Linked DNA regions of Mus musculus. The protein of the gene in region 1 interacts with the protein of each later gene in a pairwise test. Links are inferred from orthologs where the notes say so. Each region holds a gene or a part of one and is shown on either strand. Other genes may lie near its edges.

Region 1 (3,746 bases):
AACAGCGAGTTAATTATTTCAGTAGGAAAGTTCTTAGATAAGAATCGACACCTTCAATCCCAGGGGAGGCAAGGATAGGTGGAATTTCTAGGCGAATCTGGTTTATAAAGCAAGTTTCAGGACAGCCAGGATTACACAGAAAATGCATGAAGCTTAATTTTAGCAATATTTAAAACAAAACTGCAGAGCCTTAATTGTGAGTGAAAGCTCTGAAAGAAGAAGAGTATTTGCAAAGATCTTCTTCATTTGCAGTGCCAAAGTTCTGAGGAAGATTTGTGTTACGAGCTTCATCTTCTGACACATTTCAAAAGGTCACTTTGTGGTAGAAAAAGAGGTGTTTGTAACCTCTGAGCCATTTGGAAGGTTAGTGAGAGCTGGATTGGGACCTGGGACTGGCCTAAACTTAAATTTTACTTTGGGAACACCGACTAAACTAAGCTTTCTGGGGCAGTAGCCAAGTTGCCAAGGAAAAACTTATTACTCTGCCCTCTCTTAGCAAAGTGACTGCTCCTGGTACCACCAAGATGGGCACCTCATTGCTTGGTAGCAGCTGTTTGGGTCCTTTTGTTCTCAATACTGAGGAGAAGGAGGGAATTCCAGGCTTTACAATTTTTGACATGATTTCTGTATCAACCGAAGTCATAATATCCCCCCCCCGCCCCGCCCACACACAATGAGCGTCCTTCCTGGTCAAAACTGTTGTCTGTACCTTCTAGTACTTTCCACAAGTTCTATGACAAATTGTATGCCCCTTTGACAGAGCCACCATAGGCCAGGAAGGGACCAGGCATATTTAGGAGCACTATGTGATCTCTCACATTTCTCTTTAACCTCCAAGGCCTTTAAAGAACCTGGGAATTAAGGAACGAAGTGTTTTTAAAAATAATTTAAAATTAGTTGAAGGTCGTATTTAGCCTGGCTTCCCCATACATCCATTAATCTATCAGTCTGAAGCCCTCCAACATCCGAATTGCTCCTCTACTCATCCATCCCTCCGAATGAAGCGCTCCCCTAGCTACCTGAAGTACTCATAGATTATCAAGTGAAGCACCCCGCAAATGATTCCCCCAAAAACTGGCTGCAAATGAAGCCCTTTAAGAGTTTGTGCATCTTCCATGTTCTCCAAAGGCCAGAGCTGGGGAGAAGGCACAGACAGCGCTCACTTGGGGCAGCCAATACTTCAGTCAGCAGGTGCCACAGCAACCTAAAGCGTCCTTGCCCTTCCAGCCTCCGCATAGGATGCCATTGCGCATCCCCTGCGCAGCTGAGCGGACAGGCGCCTGAGCGGTTTTGATTTCCAGCAGAAGAGCTAGGGACTAGAGAGGCCCCAGGATTTAGGAAGATCTGGGTGAGAGACTAGGTACGGCGGTTGAACCGCTTCCTTCCGCTCCGCCTCTCGAGGGCCACACCCCTGCACTCTGATTGGTCAGAGTCTTTCAGTTTCGCTCTCCTTTGACCTGGATTTCAAGTCATGCGCTAGCTGCCGGTTGGCCCGACTTCCCAGAAGCCGGAGTGCGGTCTACCCAATGAGGAGCGAGTTTCGCGAGGGCTGTCGGGAAAGGCAGCTAGCCTATATAAGCAGACTGCGGGGCGTTCCCCCGCGCTCGGGTTGCCTTGCTGGTGTTGGGGGGATAGTGTGTGTTCGCTCGTTGATAACCGCGAGTCTGGAACGATGGCGGAGGGGGATAACCGCAGCAGCAACCTGCTGGTGAGTTGCGGTGGTCAGTCTGTCCCCGGAGTTTCCGGATGGGCCTCCTGGCCTCGGTGGACTACCAGGGACAGCCAGGCCTTATCTCCACGGTGGAGGTCGCTGCTGGCGATCCCCAACGTCCCCCGGAATCCTGCACCATAAGGCTTGGGCCGTGCGTGAGGAAGTGTGAGAAGGGGGCTGTGGCAAGAAGGAACCTGGGTAACAGGTTGGGGCACTCGGCCGCCAGGGGCCTTGTCTAGCGCTCCGGCTCAGGCCGGAGACCTACCTGTTTTGCCCTTTGATCTTAATCTCATGTTCCGTAGATTATTTTTAATCATGATTCTTTTTCTCCTAAAACTTGGCGCAAGGGTGGAGGGTCAAAGGGCTGCTACAGAGAATTAGTTTATCGCTGACACAGAATTTGTTGGAGCTGGCTGGTTGGAGTTCACCGCAGGAAGCTGAAAACGGGTTCTGCGGAAAGGACAGTGGGGGATCCTGGCACTTGTCTGGGAACTGGCGAGGGACTCACGGGACTGGATGCAACTTTAAAAATGATTTAGCACGGATTTGACGGAGCTACACGAGATGATGGTATTAGAAGAGGGCGCGTTTGCTTCATTACAGGTCTTTGTTTTTGGTTAGGTCTTTGTTTTTGGTTTTTAAGGCTAGGTTTTCGTGTAGCTTGACGAGGCTAGCCTTGTATTTGTCATCCTCCTGTGCTGGGATTACAGTTGCGCATCACCAGGCCCTGCTAGTTTCAAATTTTTAACTGCATCACCCACCTAGGCAAGAACGAAAGATCTTTTTTTTTTTTTTTCTGTATTGTCATTCCCCAGAAAAGGCAGGCCATATCAGAAATGAAAAAAGCAATCAGCTTTTAATGCCTGCCTTTTTAACTGCTAAGTGCCGACAAGATTCTTCGGGACAGTTTTGATTAGTGCAAGATTTTCAGTTTGTATTTGTGTTTAGAGGTGCATTCCCTGTATCCTTAAATTCCCTACACACACACACACACACACACACACACACACAGTACCATACAATAGAGATGCTTACCCTGTACCCTTAAACTCCTCCTACACAATACCAGCAAACAATTCAATAAGAGGATTAATTGCTGTACAAGGAAACTATCATGGGAGAGGGCCTGATCACTACTATTTCCATCATTTTAAGGAGAGCAAGTCCATTAGTCTTGGATTTCCTGGATTTAAATATATTAACCCCTTTATGTCTCAGTCGCCTTATCTTAAAGTAGAGGTTGTGAGAATACCTTTTCCAGTTTTTTTGGAGCGTCAATTGAAGTATAACATGTAAAATGTTTAGGATTTCTAGTATGGGGAGATGTCAAAAGTACTTAGTCACATATCTCATCTTTATTAAAATTAGCCTGAACTGTTCTATATTTGCATATTCCTTTGTGAAGAGTTGATAGTGTCAGTTGGGCATTGTGTGTATGTAGTTCCTGGATGTTGAATCCAGAGTTCTGCACAAACAGGTTCTAAATACCTTCCGTTACCAAAGTCCCTGATAGGTTCAGGTCACAGTAGCCCATGGTAAAGGTGTGCTTTTGGCTAGTTGTCACATATGCAGAAAAATTTTGAGATTTAATTGAAATTCTATCATTAATGATGAGGAGCCATTAAGTGCTGAGCTCACATAGTTTGGTTGAAAGAGTTTTCTTTAATTCCACAGTGACTGCCAACATCAGAGTCATTCCATTATACAAAGCTATTTTAGAGATTTATGTACTTAGTGTTAAGGGAAAGGTTCTCCTGATGGATTTAGAAGGACTTCAATCAATAAAACGGCCAATCGACAGATCAATGCCAACCACCTGAAATGGGCAAACAGAATATTCAATCTAGTAATATTCTGAGCACTGCCTCTTGGCTCTGTGGCTGCATTTGGGGATATTAGTTTCCCATATTAAGCTCACTTTCATGAATATTGAAATAAATTGTGAAATCTTGGGAATATTATTATACATCATGGACATATGGCCCAGTGCTAAAATGACCATTAAAGCCTAGGCTTTTTCCTACCCATGGATTTT
Region 2 (3,746 bases), on another chromosome or scaffold:
TTCTTTTGTAAGAGCTGCTATGGTCATAGTTTCTCTTCTCAGCAATAGGACAGTGACTAGGACTGTCCCCTATAGGCCAGTGACTGACCTAGTTCAGGACTGTAGCTGTGCCATTGCTAGCCAGCCCAGCGGGAAGGCACAGATGGGACCTCTCTGTCCTCGGGCCCCTACCTTGTCATAGATGGTATCCACCACGCTGTCCTCTTCACTAGTGCCCAGCAACTGGGCCAGGAGCTTACGTCCGAAGTGCAAATAGACAAGTCCCGCACTGCTCAGCTTGGTCTGCCATGGCTTTCCAGGGCACAGTGAACTCATGGTTTCTGTAAAAGTCCTGAGGAGCATAGGGAGGGGCTGAGGTGAAGGAGTTGGTTATCAGTGGGATGGGGAGACGAGAAACCACTTGAGAAGATGTTAGCGTGTCCTCTGGTGCCAACACAGGCCTTGGCTGAGAGCTTCTACTCCGACATTCCCATACAGCGGTTTGACTCATCATTGTATGTTGAGTTTTGTGTTTTGAACATTATGGAGAAAAATCAAAGATCCTGTCCTTTAAAGTTCATCTGTGGGAGGGGGACAAACAACAGAGCAACTGTCCCTAACTGTCACTGTCTGTGGTTCCTAAGGGCCTGACCTCCAGATGTCAAGTTCTTTATGTAAAATGGGACAGTGTTTGCCTGTAAAGGACACACATCCTCCTGTTTTTGGAGACAGAGTTTCTCTGTGTTGTCCTGGAAATCATTCCCTGCTTTGGCTCTCACCGCCTGGGATTAAAGGTGCAGACTATCATACGGGGCTACATTCTTTTTCCTTGATGGGAATGGGTTTTATGTGATCCAGGCTAGGCTCAAACTTGCTAACAAACAGATGATGACCTTGAACTCATGACCCTCCAGCCTCTACTCAGGAAGTACTGGAGTTACAGGTGTACACCATGCACCTTGCTCCTCCTCTTGTATCTTTTAGATCATCTCTAAATTACTTATAATGCCTAACAGGTTGCAGATGTTAGGCAAGTAGCTGTTACTTTAGAGGACAAGAAAAGGCTATTCACATCCCACACAGATGATATTTACTCACGTATCCACTTTAAAAAGAACAAAAAGATGCCAGGCGTGGTGGCACACACCTTTAATTCCAGCACTCAGGAGGCAAAGGCAGCCGTATCTCTGTGAGACTGAGGCCAGCCTGGACTACAGAGGCAGTTCCAAGACAGCCAGTGCGATAGAGAAAGGCATGTCTCAAAACAAAACAAAACAAACAACAGAAGGGAACCAATTTTCCTAAATTGGAAAGTGGAATTGTGAGATTTTGGACGTAGGAAAAGTGAAGAAACATATACAAGAAGCGCTTATCTTTCAGCAAAGGTGGGGACATGCACCAGAGCCTGGTTATGTGTCTGAGGTGAGGGAGGACAGTGCAGTGGTACTGGGAATATATAACATGTAACAGCCCATTTCCATGTCTGCTGCTGTGATGAGACACCTGACAAAAATCAACTTCAGAGGCAAAAAATGTTTATTTTAGCTCACAACATCACAACATCCCATCACAGAGGGGAAGGTGGGAGAAACTTAGAATGGGGAGTCACATCTCACCCAGACAAGAGCAGAGAGACAAGTGCATGCAGGCTGCTAGTGCTTGGCCATCTTCCTTCGCTCACACAGCCCAGGGATTAGTGCCTCCCACAGTGGGCAGGGCCTTACAGGGCAATCAAAGACACCCTACAAACACGGCCAACCCCATCTGGATACCCCCTCAACGGACCGATTCCCAGGTGATTCTAGAATCGAAATTTTATCAAACTGATAACTAACCATCATGGGGCTGGAGATGGCTAAAAGAGCTGGCTGCTCTTGCAGAGGAGGCAGGTTCAATTCCCTGCATCCACGCGGTGTCTCATGACTTCTTTAACTCCAATTCCAGGGGATCCTGATACCTTTTTTCCGTCCTCCTTGGACACCAATGCATTTGATGTACAGACATGAATGCAGACAAGACACCCCTACTCTTAAAGTAGAATAAAAACAAAGCAAAAGGCCACCTCAGTAGATTATCCTTGAACTAGAAGGATCCAGCAGCTTGTGGCAAGGACAAGTGAATGGAAAACTGCCAGTGTGAAAAAAAGTTATGGCGGGAGGGACCTGAGGGAGGTTCCAGGCCAAGGAGCAGGCTCGAAGCGAGCTTTAATTCCCAGAGCGATAAATTGCTTGACTTCAACGATGAGGAGGCAGTGGTCTTTGCTGTCATGAACTTGGGCAGTGGGTGGTGGGATTGGAGCACTAAAGCTAAATCAAGAAAGTCAAGAGAACAGGCAGCGAGTGTGAACTCACCTCTGGTGATGATCATAACGGTGACTCTGGGGGTTGTACTCACCGCCCACATCCACCACGATGTCACACGAAGCCAACTTTTCAGGATCCCGAGTCCGCACAATCTCTGCGTTCTGCAGGCACAGAGGAAGGGGCTGTCAGGTAGGAGTCAGGATTAAAGTTGGGTTTCCAGGGCGTGCGTCTCGGGGAAGGCGGTTCTCAGGCCATTGCAGCATCAGAGGGGACCGGGTTAGGTTCGCAGGTCCGTACCGCGTACTCGGGCAGGAGGCGGAGCAACGCGCAAGCCAGAGCTTCATCGCAGTGGAAGGTGCCGTTGTGCGTCCCGATTCGGGGCGGTGCCATGAGGTTGTTGCGAGGTCTTTTAGCGGGCGGATCCTGCTCTGAGCCAAGCATGCGGTGCTGGGCTTGGAGAACTGACCGGAGCGGCAATGTTAAGATACCACGCAGGAAACGTCTACCCATATAGTTCCCTCCAAGGGAAGGTCGACCCGGAAGAGGAAGTGTCAGGCACAGCTTCACTTCCGCCCGCCATCCGTCCCCATGGCAACAACACTGTGCACTACTTAGCGCAAAACCTTTTTACAGGTCCCCAAACCTCTGGTTGGAACCTCTATAAGGCCGTGTGGCTAGGGGGCTCTTGGCAAAAGTACACCTCCTGGGCACTCCCAGTTCAGCACCAGGCCCTTGTTTAATGCAAGAATAGACCACCCCATTTGCGCAGCGGTCACATTTATTAACATTAAACACAAAACACTCTCTTCCCAGGCCACTTTCCCAGGAGGCCATTGCCGGAAAAAGTCCCAGGCCCCTTGAAGAAGGGTCCCTCACTCTGCTTCATTTCTGCAGTGCACTCTCAGGCTTTGACCGTGGCCTGCGCTGCCCCCAGGGCTGTGAGCTGCTGAATCTTCTGGCTCATCATTTCCATGACAGCTACAAGAAAAGAAGGAGCAGTCACAGCCTAGTGAGAACCCAGGGCTAAGAACACTGCCGTTAAACTGTGGGGGACACAAACACACAGACTTAGAGTCTACAGGGTTGTCAGTATGCTAACCACTGGAATGTAAAAATAAACAAAATGTTAACCATAAGCAGAAAAGACTGTCAGACTGGAGGCCATATTCAATCCCTAACACCACTCAAAAAATAAATCAGGAGGCTGCGCCAAGTAGACTGGCTATAGAATCTAGGCTATTTTCTTTTCTTCTTTTTTTTTTTACGGTTTTTCAGACAGGGTTTCTCTGTATAGGCCCGGCTGTCCTGGAACTCACTCTGTAGACCAGTCTGGAAATCAGAAATCTGCCTGCCTCTGCCTCCCGAGTACCGGGATTAAAGGCGTGCGTGCCACCACGCCCAGCTTATTTACAGCCATTTCATCCCGAATCATTAACAGGAATCTTTCTTCTCAGTCATTCAAAC
Region 3 (3,746 bases), about 8.4 Mb from region 1:
TCGGGAATTTGGTATTACGCAGTTTTAGTCAACAGGATTTTCCTGAGCCCTTCTTGTGTTTGAGACAGGATTTCGCTGTGTACCCCTAACTGCCCTGGAACTAGCTCTGTATACTAACTACACCAGCCTTGAACTCAAGAGATTCACATGCCTCTGCCTTCCAGCTGCTAAGATTAAAGTCATGGGCTACCACAGCCCAGTTCTATTCCTTTTATATCCCCCCCAGCCTCAACATACCTTCCCTGGAGGCAAGATGACTCGACAGGCCATGTCCCAGGTCAGGGAGAACATGACGGGCATGAAATGAGATACAAAGGGTTTGTGGCGGCCACCTTCCTCCTTGCTGAGGATATAAACCTAGAGGAGAGAAGCAGTAAGGATGGAATGGCTTAGCTACAAGTCCTGCTTCTAAGCAAGGGAAACCACTCAGCACTGGAGCCCTCACCTGGGCCTCCACCTTCTGGTGGGGTTGGATGGAGCCTGGCTTGACCATGACCAAGCCACGCCTCAAATCTTCGCGCTTTAAGCCTCGGACCAGAGCACCCAGGTTATCCCCTGCCTCAGCCCTCTCCAGGCTCTTGTGGAACATCTCAATGCCTACAAGGAAGAAGACAGGAGAGAAGAGGGTCTGAGGCAGAATGAAGGTATAAGAGCTACATGGGAAGGGACCATTCTGACCACGTCCTTGGATCTGAAATCTTCTCATACCTGTCACCACAGTGCGGATGTTCTTGTTATGTCCCAGCAACTCACACTCATCTCCTTTCTTCAAAATGCCACGCTCTAATGTACCTGTCACCACTGTGCCCCGGCCTGGAAAGAAACAGGATGGGTTATTGGTCACCCAGGGTCAGATGACCCCTATGAGGAGTGGTGTACGTGAGCACGGGCCTCACCAGGAATAGAGTAGACTGACTCTACAGGGAGCAGGAAGGGCTTGTCCAGGTCCCGGGTGGGCACTGGGATGTAGGTGTCCACAGCATCCAGGAGCTTCTGCACTGACTTCACGCCTAGCTCAGGGTCACGTTGCTGTTGGAGACATGACAAGACCTTGAAACTTCTGTTCCTATCACAGGATGCTAAGTTTCCAGGTACAGAGCAAAGCTCTACCCCGTCCTCTACCAACAGGAGCCTGTGCTGTGCTCACCTCAAGGGCACAGAGAGCCGAGCCTACGATGACTGGAGTTTCCTCTCCTTTATAGCCAAACTCGGTGAGCAGCTCCCGGATCTCCAGCTCGACTAACTCCACCATCTCTGAGTCCTGGACAGCGTCTGCCTTGTTCACGTACACCACAACATGTTCTACCCCAATCTGCAGGCAAGACAAGAGACTGAGCAACTCTCCTGAGCCATCTGACGTCTCACGGATGTCCATCCCACTCAGACCCCAGTACCTGTTTAGCTAGCAGTAAGTGCTCTCGGGTCTGGGGCATGGGGCCATCATTAGCTGCCACCACCAGGATACAGCCATCCAGGGGGGCAGTGCCTGTGATCATATTCTGGGTGGAAGAGGAAGAAGGTCAGCTTAGTTCAGGGACCTCTTCAACATGCATCCTCTAATGAGAAGTAGCTGTGAAGATCTCCATCTCTCTGCCATGTCTTCACCACCCACAGCCACAAATCCTTGTTCTTATATTCAAACACCGCCACTATTTTATAACCTCCCCCCCTCACACCTCCACTGAACGGAAGCAGGTGCTGGCTGTCCCCAGCAACCCTCACCTTAACATAATCTGCATGACCAGGACAGTCTGTGTGGGCATAGTGTCGGGCAGCAGTGCTATACTCCACATGGGCTGCATTGATGGTGATGCCCCGAGCTCGCTCCTCTGGGGCATTGTCTATCTCCTCGTACTTCTTGAACTTAGCTCCACCTCCCTCGGCTAGAACTACCGGAGGAAGAGAACACACCTCTCAACTCAGGGTCAGAGCTACAGACAAGGCTCGGGGCACACGCCTGAACCCCTCATACAGAAACAATCTGGAAGGATAAATCTCTGTTAAATCTCAATTCTAGGAAATCTCAAATGTAATTCTAGGAAAGATAACTTTGTAAGACAGTGAGAGAATTTCCTAAGGTGTGTGCTCATCACAGACGCTTCCAATTCTTCGCTGACAGCATCTCTTTACAGACCACTCTACACTGGATGGAAACCATTCACAGTTTTCATTTTATGCCTCACAGAGCTCTTCCTGTACAGGGAAACCTGTCTCCTGCATCTTCCCACCAGCCTTCGTCCCAAGTGTCTCTTGGAGCCATGCTAAAGTTCAGCGGACTACAAGACACCCACCCTACGCTCTAGTTCTGACTCTTCCAGCTGACAGGACATTGCCCGACGCCTCCAACCCAACCCAACCCTACTCACTTTTCGTGATGGCTGCAGTCAGGGTGGTCTTGCCATGGTCCACATGTCCGATGGTACCCACATTCACATGGGGCTTGTCGCGTACATAAGTCTTCTTGGCCTCCACAGCTAGGCCGCGACACAAGAAGGGTGATGCGGGAGCCTTCAGCGGCCGCAGCCGACCTTGCAGAAATGGGGTCGGGCTGGCGCAGAGACCTGCGGGGAAAGGCACTTGGGAGTCAGGGATCCGAACCCAGCTACCCTCCGCGCCCCTCGCAACTCCGGGCTGCCTGCGTCCAACCCGCCCCCTCACCGCTGAAGCGGGGCGTCGCTCGCAATAGAGTGGCTGCCGCCATTGTGGTAGTACTCGGTGACCGGGACCGGGAACTAGGCACCCGGGGCCCGCGCGTGCAGGGAAGGACGGGCACTTGGGACTGCAGATCACTTCCGGCGGAAATGAGGGTCCGGACAGCGAGTTTAGGAGCCTCTAGCAGACAGTTTCTATGGCCACGGCCACTGATATCCGGGCATGGAGCGGAAGAGGGGGTTTCTGGTGTCTCGCGGGGGACGATGGGGAATTTCCACAGTTCAGCCTGAGGGGGCCGCTTTAGGAGGAAAATGCGGAGCGCCCCATAATGCACGAGCGCCCCCGAAGGCTTATGGGTGTTGTGGTTTCCAGGGCAGCGGGCTTGGGTCAGTTTGTGACAGGCTTTAGCTTCGCCTGGGTTCGGTCCAGAGAGAAGATCTCCCAGCCTGTAAGAGGCAAAATTAACGAGAGTCAGGGATGGAGTCCCGGGAGTTCCAGTCCTTGGCCATTAAATAACTGCCCCCATATCTCTTGCAGGGATCCTGTGCTTTCTAACATTTTGAAGTCAAACCCTCCTCCCCCAATAGTCCTTTGGACGCTTGACAAGCAGTTTTCTTTCCTTTTTCTTCCTTCTTCCCCACTACCTTCCGAGACAGGGTCTCCTTGGCTGGCCTATGTAGACCAGGCTGGTCTTCCAGCTCTAGAGAAATCTCCTGTCTCAGTGCTGGGATTAAAGGAAGTTTTTTTTTTACTGTTAGTTGAATCTTTTGTATACCCAGCAAATGTTTGTTCCCTAATGAATAAGTGGTTTTTGTTTTTGTTTTTTTTTAAGATTTATTTATTCTATGTAAGTACACTGTAGCTGTCTTCAGACACACCAGAAGAGGACATCAGATCTCATTACGGATGGTTGTGAGCCACCATGTGGTTGCTGGGATTTGAACTCAGGACCTTTGGGAGAGCAGTCAGTGCTCTAAACCACAGAGCCATCTCTCCAGCCCCCTAATGAATAAGTGTAAGTATAGTAATGACTTTTAACTGTCACATTCATCTTTTCGCACAGCTTCTTCAACTCTCACAAATAATAGAAGCTT

What was found.
Region 2: the proteins of Arl6ip1 (region 1) and Myg1 interact in binary tests that used the Homo sapiens proteins (3 or more experiments, as listed by UniProt). The two-hybrid records come from large-scale screens. The link is inferred for Mus musculus from reciprocal best matches to the Homo sapiens genes ARL6IP1 and MYG1.
Region 3: the proteins of Arl6ip1 (region 1) and Tufm interact in binary tests that used the Homo sapiens proteins (3 or more experiments, as listed by UniProt). The two-hybrid records come from large-scale screens. The link is inferred for Mus musculus from reciprocal best matches to the Homo sapiens genes ARL6IP1 and TUFM.

What each region holds. Positions count from the first base shown.
Region 1 is NC_000073.6:118,127,431-118,131,176, reverse strand, and holds the start of Arl6ip1 (ADP-ribosylation factor-like protein 6-interacting protein 1), read left to right. Parts: upstream 1-1,551; 5' UTR 1,552-1,672; coding exon 1,673-1,708; intron 1,709-3,746. UniProt on the Homo sapiens protein: Positively regulates SLC1A1/EAAC1-mediated glutamate transport by increasing its affinity for glutamate in a PKC activity-dependent manner.
Region 2 is NC_000081.6:102,330,787-102,334,532, reverse strand, and holds the start of Myg1 (MYG1 exonuclease precursor), read right to left. Parts: upstream 2,825-3,746; 5' UTR 2,793-2,824; coding exon 2,580-2,792; intron 2,444-2,579; coding exon 2,331-2,443; intron 2,008-2,330; exon of another isoform or gene 1,815-2,007; intron 332-1,814; coding exon 172-331; intron 1-171. Other genes in the region: Pfdn5 (prefoldin subunit 5), read right to left, coding at 3,184-3,260. UniProt on the Homo sapiens protein: 3'-5' RNA exonuclease which cleaves in situ on specific transcripts in both nucleus and mitochondrion. Involved in regulating spatially segregated organellar RNA processing, acts as a coordinator of nucleo-mitochondrial crosstalk.
Region 3 is NC_000073.6:126,486,403-126,490,148, reverse strand, and holds the start of Tufm (elongation factor Tu, mitochondrial), read right to left. Parts: upstream 2,795-3,746; 5' UTR 2,702-2,794; coding exon 2,659-2,701; intron 2,562-2,658; coding exon 2,367-2,561; intron 1,890-2,366; coding exon 1,723-1,889; intron 1,500-1,722; coding exon 1,395-1,499; intron 1,313-1,394; coding exon 1,148-1,312; intron 1,030-1,147; coding exon 897-1,029; intron 814-896; coding exon 709-813; intron 598-708; coding exon 446-597; coding exon of another isoform or gene 358-445; coding exon 238-357; intron 1-237. UniProt on the Homo sapiens protein: GTP hydrolase that promotes the GTP-dependent binding of aminoacyl-tRNA to the A-site of ribosomes during protein biosynthesis. Also plays a role in the regulation of autophagy and innate immunity.